Linked DNA regions of Neurospora crassa OR74A. The protein of the gene in region 1 interacts with the protein of each later gene in a biochemical or structural test. Links are inferred from orthologs where the notes say so. Each region holds a gene or a part of one and is shown on either strand. Other genes may lie near its edges.

Region 1 (3,981 bases):
CAAGGCGTCAAGGGGTATCTTGGGGGAATCTTCAATGAATACATCACGTAATAATTACCGTTTGGTAAAGAAATCGACCTATGACTGCATTCACGAGACAGTTTCCCCGGAGCGCTGTGTGATGAATCGTACCTGCGCCTGATCTCGATTGGGTATAGTGGACATTCTTTCCGTAACTGATTTCATTAGGTCTAAGCCTTGACGGCCTGAGGGGCACCACCAGCCTGGGCGCTCGTCTGGACCTGAATGATCTCTGTCCTCTTCTTCTCAATCTTGCCCTGTGTCTCCTTGATGACTCCCTCCAAGCGAGTGCTGTGACAGTGGGTCAGTTGCGTTGTAACTCAAGATCCCATGCAGCAGTTCAACTTACATCTCCTTGCTGATGAACTCCAGTCTACCCTTGACTGTGTTCTCTGCATCCATCTTGTCCTGCTTGAGCAGCACCGGGCCCACTAGCTTGAAGATCTGCTCGTCATCCTTGAGCTTCTCGAACTCCTACATGGTGCTCAGTTAGTCCCCATTTTTTCCTTGGGCAGAATTTGGCGAAAGGCATTGGGCATGCGAGCGCGATGCTTGGAGAAAAGCTGACATTTTGCACGCTGACGTTTTCCTGCTTCTGAGCCTCGAGCTTCTGTCTGGCGAGAACAGTCTCTTGGAGTTCTGAGGTACAGTTAGTGAATGAACTACGGGGATATCATCATAAGGGGGGCTCACCTTTGTTCAGGTTTTGATACTCATCAGAGAGAGCTTGGAGCTTTAGTTGGAGGGGGCTGGCCATGGCTGCTTCTTTGAGGGTGATGTGAAGTGAGAGACAGGGTTATGCTGAAAAGTTACTAGGCGATGACGTTCGAAAACTGAAAAAGGGTTTGGACACAGTGAGGGAGGGAAGATGATGGATCAAAATGCAGGAACAAGAAACACAGATGAGCTCCAGTATGGGGAATTTGGAGGTTTCTATTCCGGGGAACTGAGCTCGCTGTGCAGTCAATCGTCAGGGGTGAGCTGAGCAGATCCCAAAGTCAGTGCCCAAGCTTTAGCTGTTAGTGCAGGAGTGTATCCTCAAGCAAAGTACTAACAGCCCCAGACCAGCGCTCTCTCCACGCGCAAACAAGTGGCGTCAGTGGCCCCCAGGCCGGGAACCATAACAGGACCCCGCGCTACGCTAGCGCTTCCAGGTCAACGGCCAAGACAAGTCGACCTCGTTGCTTGAAACTAACCAAGATATGGACAAGACCACCAACGATCTTCCCCTCTCCAATTCCACCTCAGACCAGGGCGCGACACCAACTTTTTTGTGCCAGAAGACAGTCTTGCCGTAGTCGTTGCCAGGTGACGCCCGCAAGATACGACCAATTCCCGATTTCTCTTCACCTTATCTCTGCCACTCTCGTTGCCGTAGCCTAGGACAACAGCAGTCGTCATCAACGGGTCTCCTCCCTCGCATATGGCCATCTGTTGACATTGACTTCGAACCTCGGCGCGCGAATATCAACAAACTCTCCTTGTCCGAGCGAAGAAGCAAACAAGTATAACGACTACAAACGCTTACTACGGCGTACCAAGAAGAGCGACCAATCCTACACTCGACTAAACCACGAATTCACGCGACATCACTTTACACGCTTCGAGCCGCCGCCGCACAAAATGTCCAATACCGACTTCCTCGGCCGCGCCATCGAGCAAGTGCGCAAAGCCATCGAAGCCGACAACGCCGCCCAGTACGACAAAGCCTACCAGCTGTACTACCAATCGCTCGAACTCTTCATGCTCGCCCTAAAATGGGAGAAGAACCCGAAATCCAAGGAGATGATCCGGGCCAAGACGGGCGAGTACATGGACCGGGCCGAGAAGCTCAAAGCGCACCTGGCGGACGCGGAAGCGAAGCGGAAGAAGCCCGGGATGGTGGGCGCGAACGGGGGTTCGACGGGCGGGACGGGGAAGGGGAAGGAGGCCGGGGAGGACGGTAATGGCAATGGAGAAGCGTTGGATGAGGATAGCAAGAAGCTGAGAAGTGCGTTGGCGGGCGCGATTCTGCAGGAACGGCCGAACATCAGCTGGGATGATGTGGCTGGTCTAGAGGGTGCCAAGGAGGCCCTCAAGGAGGCGGTCTTGTTGCCAATCAAGTTCCCGCATCTGTTCCAGGGGAAGAGGCAGCCGTGGAAGGGTATTTTGCTGTATGGCCCACCGGGAACAGGAAAGAGTTATTTGGCCAAGGCAGTGGCGACAGAGGCGAAGAGCACGTTCTTCAGCGTGAGCAGCTCGGATTTGGTGAGCAAGTGGATGGGTGAGAGTGAACGGTATGTTTTGTCCTGTTGTCTCTGTCCTTATGCCACTATCGTGACTGAGAAGCTAACGATTTTCCAACAAAAAACAGTCTAGTAAAGCAACTCTTCGCCATGGCCCGAGAAAACAAGCCCTCCATTATCTTCATCGACGAGATCGACGCCCTCTGCGGTCCGCGCGGTGAAGGCGAGTCGGAAGCCTCGCGCAGGATAAAAACCGAACTTTTGGTCCAAATGGACGGTGTCGGCAAAGACAGCAAGGGCGTGCTGATCCTGGGCGCCACCAACATCCCCTGGCAGCTGGATGCTGCTATCCGTCGCCGCTTCCAGCGCCGCGTGCACATCACTCTGCCGGACCTGGCGGCGCGCACCACCATGTTCCGGCTGGCTGTGGGCGACACCCACACGGCGCTCAAGGCGGAAGACTTCCGCGAGCTGGCGCGCGCGGCGGAGGGTTATTCGGGTTCGGATATCAGTATTGTTGTGCAGGATGCGTTGATGCAACCGGTGAGGAAGATTCAGCAGGCTACGCATTTCAAAAAGGTTCGTTCTTTTTTGTTTTTCTCTTTTCTCTCCCATCCCTGACCCTCAACCCCTACTTCTACCTCTATTCATGATGCGAGATTGTTAACTTTTGTTACTACAAAAAACAGGTCGTCCACGAAGGCAAACAAATGCTCACGCCCTGCTCGCCAGGCGATCCGGACGCCATCGAAATGACGTGGGAGCAGGTACCCTCGGACGAGCTGCTCGAACCATTTGTCGACAAGAAGGACTTTATCAAGGCCATCAAGGCCAGCAGGCCGACTGTGTCGGGCGAGGATCTCAAGAGGAATGAGGAATGGACAAAGGAGTTTGGTAGTGAGGGTGCGTAGAGAGATGCCTGCCACAGTGTGGGGGGCGGGTGTGGTCAATGGTTCGTTCCGTGCGGTTTATTCTTGTTCTTTGGTGTTTCTCCCATGGAAAGCGAAGGAGTGGTATACAGAGGGCGGCGGGTATCTGGATGTTTTAGGTACTTTTTACTTTGGGGTTAAGAGTCTTGCAAGCCCCTTTTTCTATCTTGGCAGCACATTGCATGCGGCAAGGCACATGTTTACTACGAAGACTTGATGATGACGATATTATTCTAGCGAGAAAATCAGGGGAAGATGGAGTGTCGATGGGCGTTTTGCAATCATGCGATATTGGAAGAGTACATAGATTCATGACACTTCACATCAACCAGGTACTTTTAGACGTACGTTCCGTTTCGTTTAATGAGCCTTTGTTTTTACCCATATCGCCGCCATATGATGCTCCATGGGTATGATGCTAGTACACACGCACATCCTTTTCAACTTTTTTGCGCTACCCCTCTATGATCAGTCGTAGATGGCAAGAGATGTGAATGACGACAACGACGAACTATTTATGATTCTTGCAAGAAACAAGTAGACCCGTAAAACTCCTTTGTACCAGATTTGACCCATACCCCATACATTATAAGAAACTCCCGAGGATAACAACGACAACAGAGCGAACCAACAAGAACGACGTGCCAAAAAACGCGACGAGAAGCTCTAAACAAGATGACGAAGAAAAAAAGTAAAAATCGTGAAAAAGACACAAGTGGTGACGCTGCTTTTTGGCTCTTTTTCTTTCGGTCTTTTTACTCAGACTTCGACTTCTTCTTCTTCTTCTTCTTCTCGGGTTCCGCAGC
Region 2 (4,013 bases), on another chromosome or scaffold:
TGTTGAGAATAAGAATTTGGGAGATATCATCACTGTGCGCCTGTTGTTTTGTCAGCTCTTGATGAACCACACTCGACTCTTCATCGTGAGTGATCAACATACCTTTTGCTTCAGATCCTGTAGTACCTGCAGACGCTCCTTCTTCACCAAGCTGAGCTTCTTCAGAATATCTTCCACCTTTTGGATCTGCTCAACCACACTCGGGCCACCATCATCAAAATCGGCCTCCAAAAGATTAGGCTCCACGGTGGCGGGGCTATTCGGGTTTGACTTTCGCGACTTCCTGACTGCTCTCTGGAACAACTCATCGATCTCTCCATGCTGCGCGGCCTGGCGCATCTCATCCAACTCAGTTTCGTTGGCTCTAAGCTTTGTCGCGAGCTGCCCATCACTCTTCGCTGCCACTTCCAAGGCCTCCCTATACCTCCTAATGTCCGTTCTGAGCGTAGTGGTCAACCGCGAACTCGGCTGCTGAGTCCATTCCGCATCGTACTTGGAACGCATCTTCTCACACACGCTTTCCTCCATATCCAACTGCCTGCTACTCTTATCCAGTATTGTTGAAATGGCCTGCTTTTCGGTATGAAGATATTCGAAAATCCTATGAGGGCTTTCGTGATCCGCGACATCCACACACCATGTCCTAAAGTCTTCGTCAGGAAGGATATCCTGATCGAACCCTCCCTTCAAAACCTGAAGAGCGCCCGGAAGCCTGAGATAGTCCAGGCTAGCCGCCATCTCGCTGTTTGCGGTTTCTACTCTTTCCGTCTCAGCTCTCACCAGCTTGGCCTTCTCTTCATCGTACAAGCTAGCCGATTCGGTGACCGCGAGAGGCACAATTTTCGCGAATAGGTCGGGGCCGGTGATCCGTTGAATATCCTGGCCGGCATATAGTTCGCTAACGGGTATCGGTTTCGCAGCCGGCAGCTTGGGGACTGGTGCAACGCTGGCCTCAGCAGGTACGGGTTGATGGTAGATCATATCATTTTCCTTGTTGAGTTCCTCCAACTTTTCCTTGACAGTTGCGAGGTGTCTTTTGGTCGCATCTGCCAGGATGTGGCCACAGTCCGAAGTCAAATTCGAGTTCGGGGGCACTGAGGTGGGAAAACTGTGTGCCATCTTGTTTGCTTCTTTGGCAAGACCCTGTGCAATTTCAAGACGCGCAATGGCCACGCCATAAGAGTTTGCATCCTCATCAGCGAGGGCTTGATAGTACTGGGCGAGTGAGTTCATGAAGTTAAGCTTGATCTAATATTTTGTGTCAGTTTTGCCCCAGATTTCCCATCCTTCCTGATACGGAACCCACGCCTACACAACTTACCTGAACCACAGACAGCCAAACTTTCTCGAAAATGGCCTTGGTGACGTTTTCCTGAACGCCCTCAACAGCCTGGGCGTAGAGAGCGGCTGCTTGGCTAGACAACTTGGCGAGCAGACCATTCTTTTTTTGATCAGCAATCTGCTTCTCAAGGAAGACCTCTTGCGCCTGGGCCAACATGATGCTGATTAGCGTCTTGACCGTTTCCCTGCTCAGATCGGACGAGGGCGCGTGGAGGAAGTTCTCGTTGATGTAGGTGAACATGCCGGCCGAGGCCTGGAACGAGTGGTATGCCGTCTTGAGTCCCGCCTCCTCGGTTCGCAATTGGTGTGCCGCATGGCAGGATAGAACGGCGGAAATGTTGAAGATGATGGAGGCCTTCTCAAAAGCCAGCGAATATTGCGCTGTGGGCTTGTGAGTAAAAGCGTCGAACCTACAGAAGCAGCAGATGGTTAGCAACCGATGTGGGTCCCGAACACTGGAAGGGACAATACCATGTAAAGGAAATCTTGATGTTCTTCTCGTCCACCGGAAATCTCAAATCCAAAAGTTCGAGCTGGCCGTAGTAGCGATAGAGCAGGTCCCTTCCCGACGTGCTGTCCTTCCCGGCGCCTCGCATATCCTGGCGTAACCGGTTGAGGGTCGCACATTCTTCGGCATAGCGCTCCGGATCATCGCCGTACGTATTTCGAATGTAGTTTTTGAGGGGAGCAACCCAGTCAATCTCGCTTGTGGCCTTGAGGGGCACCGAGATCATGGGCGCCTGCACCATGTTGGGCGAGTATGGGCGGGCGGTTGGAATTCAGCGTCTCGGTTCGGTAAACGACTCGATGGAGTTCGGAATGCGGGGACAAGACAAGACGAAAGTCCCGGTTCTGGCGGCTTGTAATCCAAGTTCTTGTGGGTTTTCCGTGTTGTCTGCCGCGTGACGACTGCAGCTTTCCTAAGCCTACTTTGCCGATGGTATGTGGCAGACTGGGGAAAAGGGTGAAAGATTGGCGGTTGACGAGTTGTGAGAGGGAGGAGAGTTGCGTGTTCGTGTAAGCTTTGGGTAACAAGCCAGCTTGTGTCGTCAGAGCTCGCGTGCGGCGGAGGGGTACCTGGTACTTTGCCAACGGCGGTTGCCCTGCTGTGAACTCTGCTGTGGTGATTGAGCGTTGATGGCCGCCTGGCCGTGTTGGAGTGGACGGTAAAGTCGAGAACCACGTTGTGGACTTTTTACTTCTTTGGGGGTTGGGGAGGGGGAGATCCGGGGAACTGGTGAGGTGCAGTAGGTAGGCACAAGGCGAACTACTGGTACCTAGGTACCTTATGGTTGCTTAGGTCTCCAAATGTGGCCGGGTGGCTTGGTCACTACCTAGGTAGAGGTACCTTGGCGACGCTCGACGATTGACAAGACATAAAGCTGAGGTGATGTTGCTTGGTAATAGTATTCAAACCAATACTAGGTTGTTATTTATGGCTGGCCAACTTTTGCAAAAGTTGTCTCGGTCTCGCTCATCGTATAAGCGAAAGAGCGGCACCTCCAGGCCCCGTCATATGTTATATGTGCACCGCTTGACAGGTCATCGATAGGCGGCGGGCAGCAATGGGCGTGATGGGGCAGGCGGCAGCTACCGGGGAAGGAGCCACCCAACTACGGAGACAGTCCCGTATAGCTTCCATCATCCCCTGTCACCGGCCGGGCTCTCTCCAGCTGTGATTCAGACCTACAAGATGCCTCTGATATCGAAGATGGAGTTCAATGTGAAAGCCACTAGCACTTAGCTTGAAATCGAAGACACCCAGTGAGGTTTGCTGGACCAGAATATCCAAGCGGGAAACTAATCGAGCGAAGAAGAGGCAAACCAAGAGATGGATTCCATCCGCTCTCTCCAAGTTAGCCGCCGGCTGCAGATCGCTTCAGGCATCTTCCTCACATGTTCAGACGGGGGAAGCAGCTCCATTATAAGACCAGGAAGGTACAATAAGCTTAGCACTACCTACCTAGTCCATCTTTCCACACCTTCCCTCCATCCATATCGCCCGTCCAGATGGGCGTTGCTTCATGGCTCGATATTCAATGCCTTGCCCTGGTCCCCGTTTTCGGAAACAATCCTCCAATGATTCGGGTACCCGTACAGTCCGGGTGTGGTACAAAGCTACAAGCCGGCGGCTATGAAGGCCCAGTGCAGCGATTTGTTGGTGTGGCGCCCAACGGCTGACCCCTCTTTTCACCTCTTCATTAGACGCGCTTCTATCCGTATCTTTCATCCATTATGAAGAAAGAGGAAATACTGAGCCCAACCTGACAGAATGATGGGATGAGGAAACTGAAGAGAGGTATAAGTGATGGAATTAACCGAGCCTCGTCTCCTTTTGTGCGTGGTAATAACGCTCAAGGCAGCCGCATTCAACGGATGTGGAAACAGAGAGTGATGAAGAACAGAAGAACCCCGCTACAAAACGCGGGGGTGTTTCTCTTTTCACTATCACATCACATCTTGCAGCTGGCGATCGACAGGTTCAGGTTGCGAGAGCGGCCTTTCCCTGGATCCATACACACGGATATCTCATCTCTACTGTCAATATCACGGCTACGACATGTGCACTTTCCTCACCTTCGGAACGGCGTCTGTTCATGGGGCTCTACAATGTGCGGAAACTGAAGCCAGGTGCTCGACCCCTATATCCCCGTCAGAGGATTGTTTCACGA
Region 3 (3,913 bases), on another chromosome or scaffold:
TGTGAATGTGAAATCACAGGTTCAGGTCGGAGCTGCGTGGTGGTGGGTGAATGGCGAAGGAAGAGACAGTGGCTCGTGCAGAGTTGCCGTCGATTGCAAGAACGGAGGAAATAGCCGACCCATGCAAGTTGCTTTCCCTTAAGGCCAGAGTGAGCTTGTTTTGAGAGGGAATGAATCGAGGTGCCTGGCGTTCCTGAATACCGAAAAGACCGATTTATCACGCGACCGGTAACAGAGCAACCAGGCAACCATCGGAGCTGGCATGCAACTTTCGGTTGACTGCGGAAGGCAAGAACCACTTTTCTCTAATTGAGCATCGTCCCGTGGGCAAAACCACCGACTTCGCCGGGGCTCGGCGACATTCGAGGCCATCCAGGTGATAGCTCGTCATCCCCACAACGTTCCTTCAGGATCTCTAACCACTTTCCTGGGCTGCTTCAAAAAGCGTGTAATTCGGAGGTTCACATTCATGAAGCAAAAGCGTGCACGGGTACAAATCGACGGGATGAGGATGGCAAAGCACGAGATATAAACAGAGAGAATTCATAGAGTGTGCCTCAACACTTGTCAGGGCACTTTGCCTGCGAAACACGATTGTGGTTTTGCGTGCAAGGTGAGTTACTAACCTGCTGGATTTCCTGGCGGTATTTGTACTGTTTATCCTTATCCTTGTCCGCCATCTTGACTGGTTTTTAAGGGCGACTGTCTGATCAAGTCGTCTATAAGTTGCCTTGTGAGAGAAGCGGTAACAATGATCGAGGAGACAAAAGACCACGCGTTCGATTTTGAGCGGAGTGGGAATAGAATCGTCGGAGCGAAAAACAAAGTATTGGGATATCAGGATTAGTGACACAAATGACAAGGAGAAGTCATGTATATAAGTTGAGTTGGGGAGGATGGAACTGGAGTCAAAAAGTAGGCCGTTGTAAGAGAAGAAGGGAAGCTGCGAGAGTTGATGTCCGGTTGTTCGGCGGACGTCGTTGACGTTCCGGCAACCAGCAGGGTTCCCGGTACATACTGTCACGTGATGCACATATGCTGCAGAACGTTCTTGGACCGGGCCTGCGTCGATGGCAGTTCAGAAGGAACAGTAGTCGCGTTTGATGTCTCATCTTCTGAGACAATCGACTGGAATCGTGAAGTTGGGTCGAGTGAATCACCTGCGAGACGTATCGTGGTGAAGGTGGTTGAACTCGAAATCGAGTACAGGGCACTGAAAAGTGGTCAGGAGGTGGAATCGTGAATGCAACATGAAGTAGGTAGATCTACATGCTATAATGCCTATTCTACAAGGGCTTCTAAGTACTCTCTACTTTACCTTACGCATCCGGCCCACTGAGCAAGGACCCGTTTCTCCCCTCGCGACAGCCAATGGCCCTGTCGATCCGCATACGGTCCCACCATCTACCCCACACAAGCTGTGGTGCTCCCGTCGTCCCGTCTCCTCCAACTCGACGACAACCTCGCAAGTTGCCTAAAGGCCATCATCATATCTTTGACTTCATTATCTGTTCTGAACCAGCCACTCATAGTTGGGTCGCCCACCTAGTCACAGCTTTTATTTCTCACAGCAAGCACCATTAGATTACCCGAAACACCTCAAATATGCCTCCCGCAGGAGCTGCCTTTGTGGTACGTCATCCTAACTCCACCTCAAGTTATGCCACGACATGTAACGTCTACATGGACGATGAAGCTCACTCGGAACACAGGCCAAACTCAAAGTCCAGCTGAAACTGGCTATTGCCAGATTGCGTATGGTCCAGAAACGCGATGAAGCCCTCGCCAAGACCCAGCGACGGGCTATGGCGCAGTTGCTTGATGTTGGCAAGGAGGACTCGGCCCGCATCCGTGTTGAAAACATCATCCGGTCAGACATCACCACCGAGCTTCACGAGATTCTGGAACTCTACTGTGAACTCTTGCTTGCCCGCGCCGGTCTGTTGGAGGCGCCCACATGCGACCCTGGTCTCGAGGAGGCCGTCAAGAGCATCATCTACGCCGCACCCAAGACCGAGATCAAGGAGCTCCACCAAGTACGGACGCTGCTCGCGGAGAAGTTTGGTAAGGAGTTTGCGCTACAGGCGGTGGAAAACTCGGATGGAAAGGTGTCGGAAAAGGTTGTCAAGAAGCTCAGCGTGACGCCACCGCGGGAAGAGCTTGTTGTTGGCTATCTGGAGGAGATCGCAAAGGTGTATGGCGTGAACTGGCCAAAGAAGAAGGCACACTTGGGCGAGCCGCCTGACTTTATGGACGAGGATGAGAGCCCGAGCGGTGGGCAGGCTCAGAAGAACCTCGAGGTACCTTTAAAGGCGGAAGATAAGGAGGCGGAGGCTCAGGAAGAGCTCAGCAAGGCAACGCCACCAGTGTCCTTCGGACCTGCGAGCCCACTACATGTTAACCCACCACCGCCGTCAACCGACAATATCCATCCCAAAGTCACCCTGAACCACCAGCAATTACAATCAAAGCAATCTCCAGCGGGTGGTGGAGTTGTGAAGAAGGCGCCTGCGAAGGGGAGTATCGCAGATGGCATTCCTGACGTGGACGAGCTGGCTAAGCGGTTTGCGGCTTTGAAAAAGTAGCATGGTTTTGCCATGATATGGACTTTTTTTTCAAGCGGTTTGTGCTTTTGCAGAACCAAACTACGAAGTATGGGAGCGAATCTTTGCAGCGGTACTAGTATTTGTTGGCCTATGACATTTCAAGCGAATCATCATCAATTCGAATATTCTCATACCTGGGCTGCTCGCTTGGTGTTGACTGACCCGTCGGATACCGCGTTGCTATTGGTATATGGCAAGGTTCTCTTGGTTCTTGGACTGCCAAGAATTCCCCAATCACCAAACCCTTCATCAGTCCTTTTGAGGTTGTAGAGGCATGGATCACTTCCCATGTTGATATTTCCGTGGCAGGCTGGCAGGATGGCGCAGCCGTCATGGTTGTGTCCGCCCCCTCCTCTTCATTCCTGCCCCCGACTTCCGTAAACGGGGCAGATGTGATGGAAGGCCCCCGTCTGTCAACCACGCCAGAGGTGACTAAATCATCTGGCAAAGCTAGCGAGGGTAGCTCCTGCCTTGTTCGCTGGATCCCCGCCGTGAAATTGATGGACGTTTGCTCTTTCCTTTCATCCCAACTTGTGTCCCTTGATTTCACACCTGATGCCAGCTGCCTGCTCTGGTCCCAATATGACCTTTGAATATTACAGTACCAACGCATCGACGCAGCCCAAGTCGATTAATTCCTTTGACCTTCCACATTTCCAACATCTCGCAGAGGTTGCTCATCAAGATATTCCAAGCAACAAGCGGATATCACGAGGCTTTCAAGGAAACTTGCTCCCACTGGTATCGCGTCCCTCCCACCTGGTCACGGGTGGGAAAACGAGCCAGAGTCACGGTCGCGTCATTCACCCTCACGTAAACCTGGGAAATAGCTGATTGAGGGGCACTCCTACTGTCAACCATTCCTGTTTCCCTTTTTTTTCATATTCCAATTGATGCAACTCAATTATCTACCCGCAGCAATTCTCCTAGTCTCGGATCACGCATTCTTGTATGTTTAGCAACACAACTGTGCTATCAACAGAAAACTATCCATCTCGTTAAAGACTTGACACTGATTGCCACATGTACCGCAGACTTTGATAGCAGGCATCTCGCCACCGAGTCGCAACGCGGCTAAGAGCGTCCAGAAACCAGCCAGCACTCCCCGTTTGGACAGAAAACTCACCATATCTGGCCAACAACCTGAAGAAAGCGTCTGATAAGGCTCATTTGATACTCGCGACCAAGAGCTAGCATCTCTTGCACTACCCTACCATCGATGATGGAATATAAAGAGGAGATGACAGCCTTTGTCGGGCGGCTGGGCGTTCGAACACTCGGCCAACTCTCTCTGAAGGAGCTTGCTG

What was found.
Region 2: the proteins of NCU06942 (region 1) and NCU08001 form a complex in vitro, tested with the Saccharomyces cerevisiae proteins (3 studies listed by BioGRID). The link is inferred for Neurospora crassa OR74A from reciprocal best matches to the Saccharomyces cerevisiae genes VPS4 and BRO1.
Region 3: the proteins of NCU06942 (region 1) and NCU07991 form a complex in vitro, tested with the Saccharomyces cerevisiae proteins (2 studies listed by BioGRID). The link is inferred for Neurospora crassa OR74A from reciprocal best matches to the Saccharomyces cerevisiae genes VPS4 and IST1.

Annotation. Positions count from the first base shown.
Region 1 is NC_026507.1:845,061-849,041, forward strand, and holds NCU06942 (vacuolar protein sorting-associated protein VPS4), read left to right. Parts: upstream 1-1,181; 5' UTR 1,182-1,644; coding exon 1,645-2,297; intron 2,298-2,374; coding exon 2,375-2,825; intron 2,826-2,935; coding exon 2,936-3,157; 3' UTR 3,158-3,556; downstream 3,557-3,981. Other genes in the region: NCU06941 (prefoldin subunit 6), read right to left, coding at 192-312, 371-495, 590-660, 715-778; NCU06943 (SIK1), read right to left, coding at 3,931-3,981. UniProt on the Saccharomyces cerevisiae protein: Involved in the transport of biosynthetic membrane proteins from the prevacuolar/endosomal compartment to the vacuole. Required for multivesicular body (MVB) protein sorting.
Region 2 is NC_026504.1:3,875,054-3,879,066, reverse strand, and holds the start of NCU08001 (vacuolar protein-sorting protein bro-1), read right to left. Parts: upstream 2,801-4,013; 5' UTR 2,091-2,800; coding exon 1,813-2,090; intron 1,752-1,812; coding exon 1,322-1,751; intron 1,249-1,321; coding exon 103-1,248; intron 41-102; coding exon 1-40. UniProt on the Saccharomyces cerevisiae protein: Class E VPS protein involved in concentration and sorting of cargo proteins of the multivesicular body (MVB) for incorporation into intralumenal vesicles. Fusion between endosomes and the vacuole will then target the cargo proteins to the vacuolar lumen.
Region 3 is NC_026504.1:3,828,804-3,832,716, reverse strand, and holds NCU07991 (DUF292 domain-containing protein), read left to right. Parts: upstream 1-1,452; 5' UTR 1,453-1,605; coding exon 1,606-1,632; intron 1,633-1,712; coding exon 1,713-2,585; 3' UTR 2,586-3,413; downstream 3,414-3,913. UniProt on the Saccharomyces cerevisiae protein: Involved in a late step in sorting of cargo proteins of the multivesicular body (MVB) for incorporation into intralumenal vesicles. The lumenal sequestrated membrane proteins are targeted into the vacuole after fusion of the endosome with the vacuole.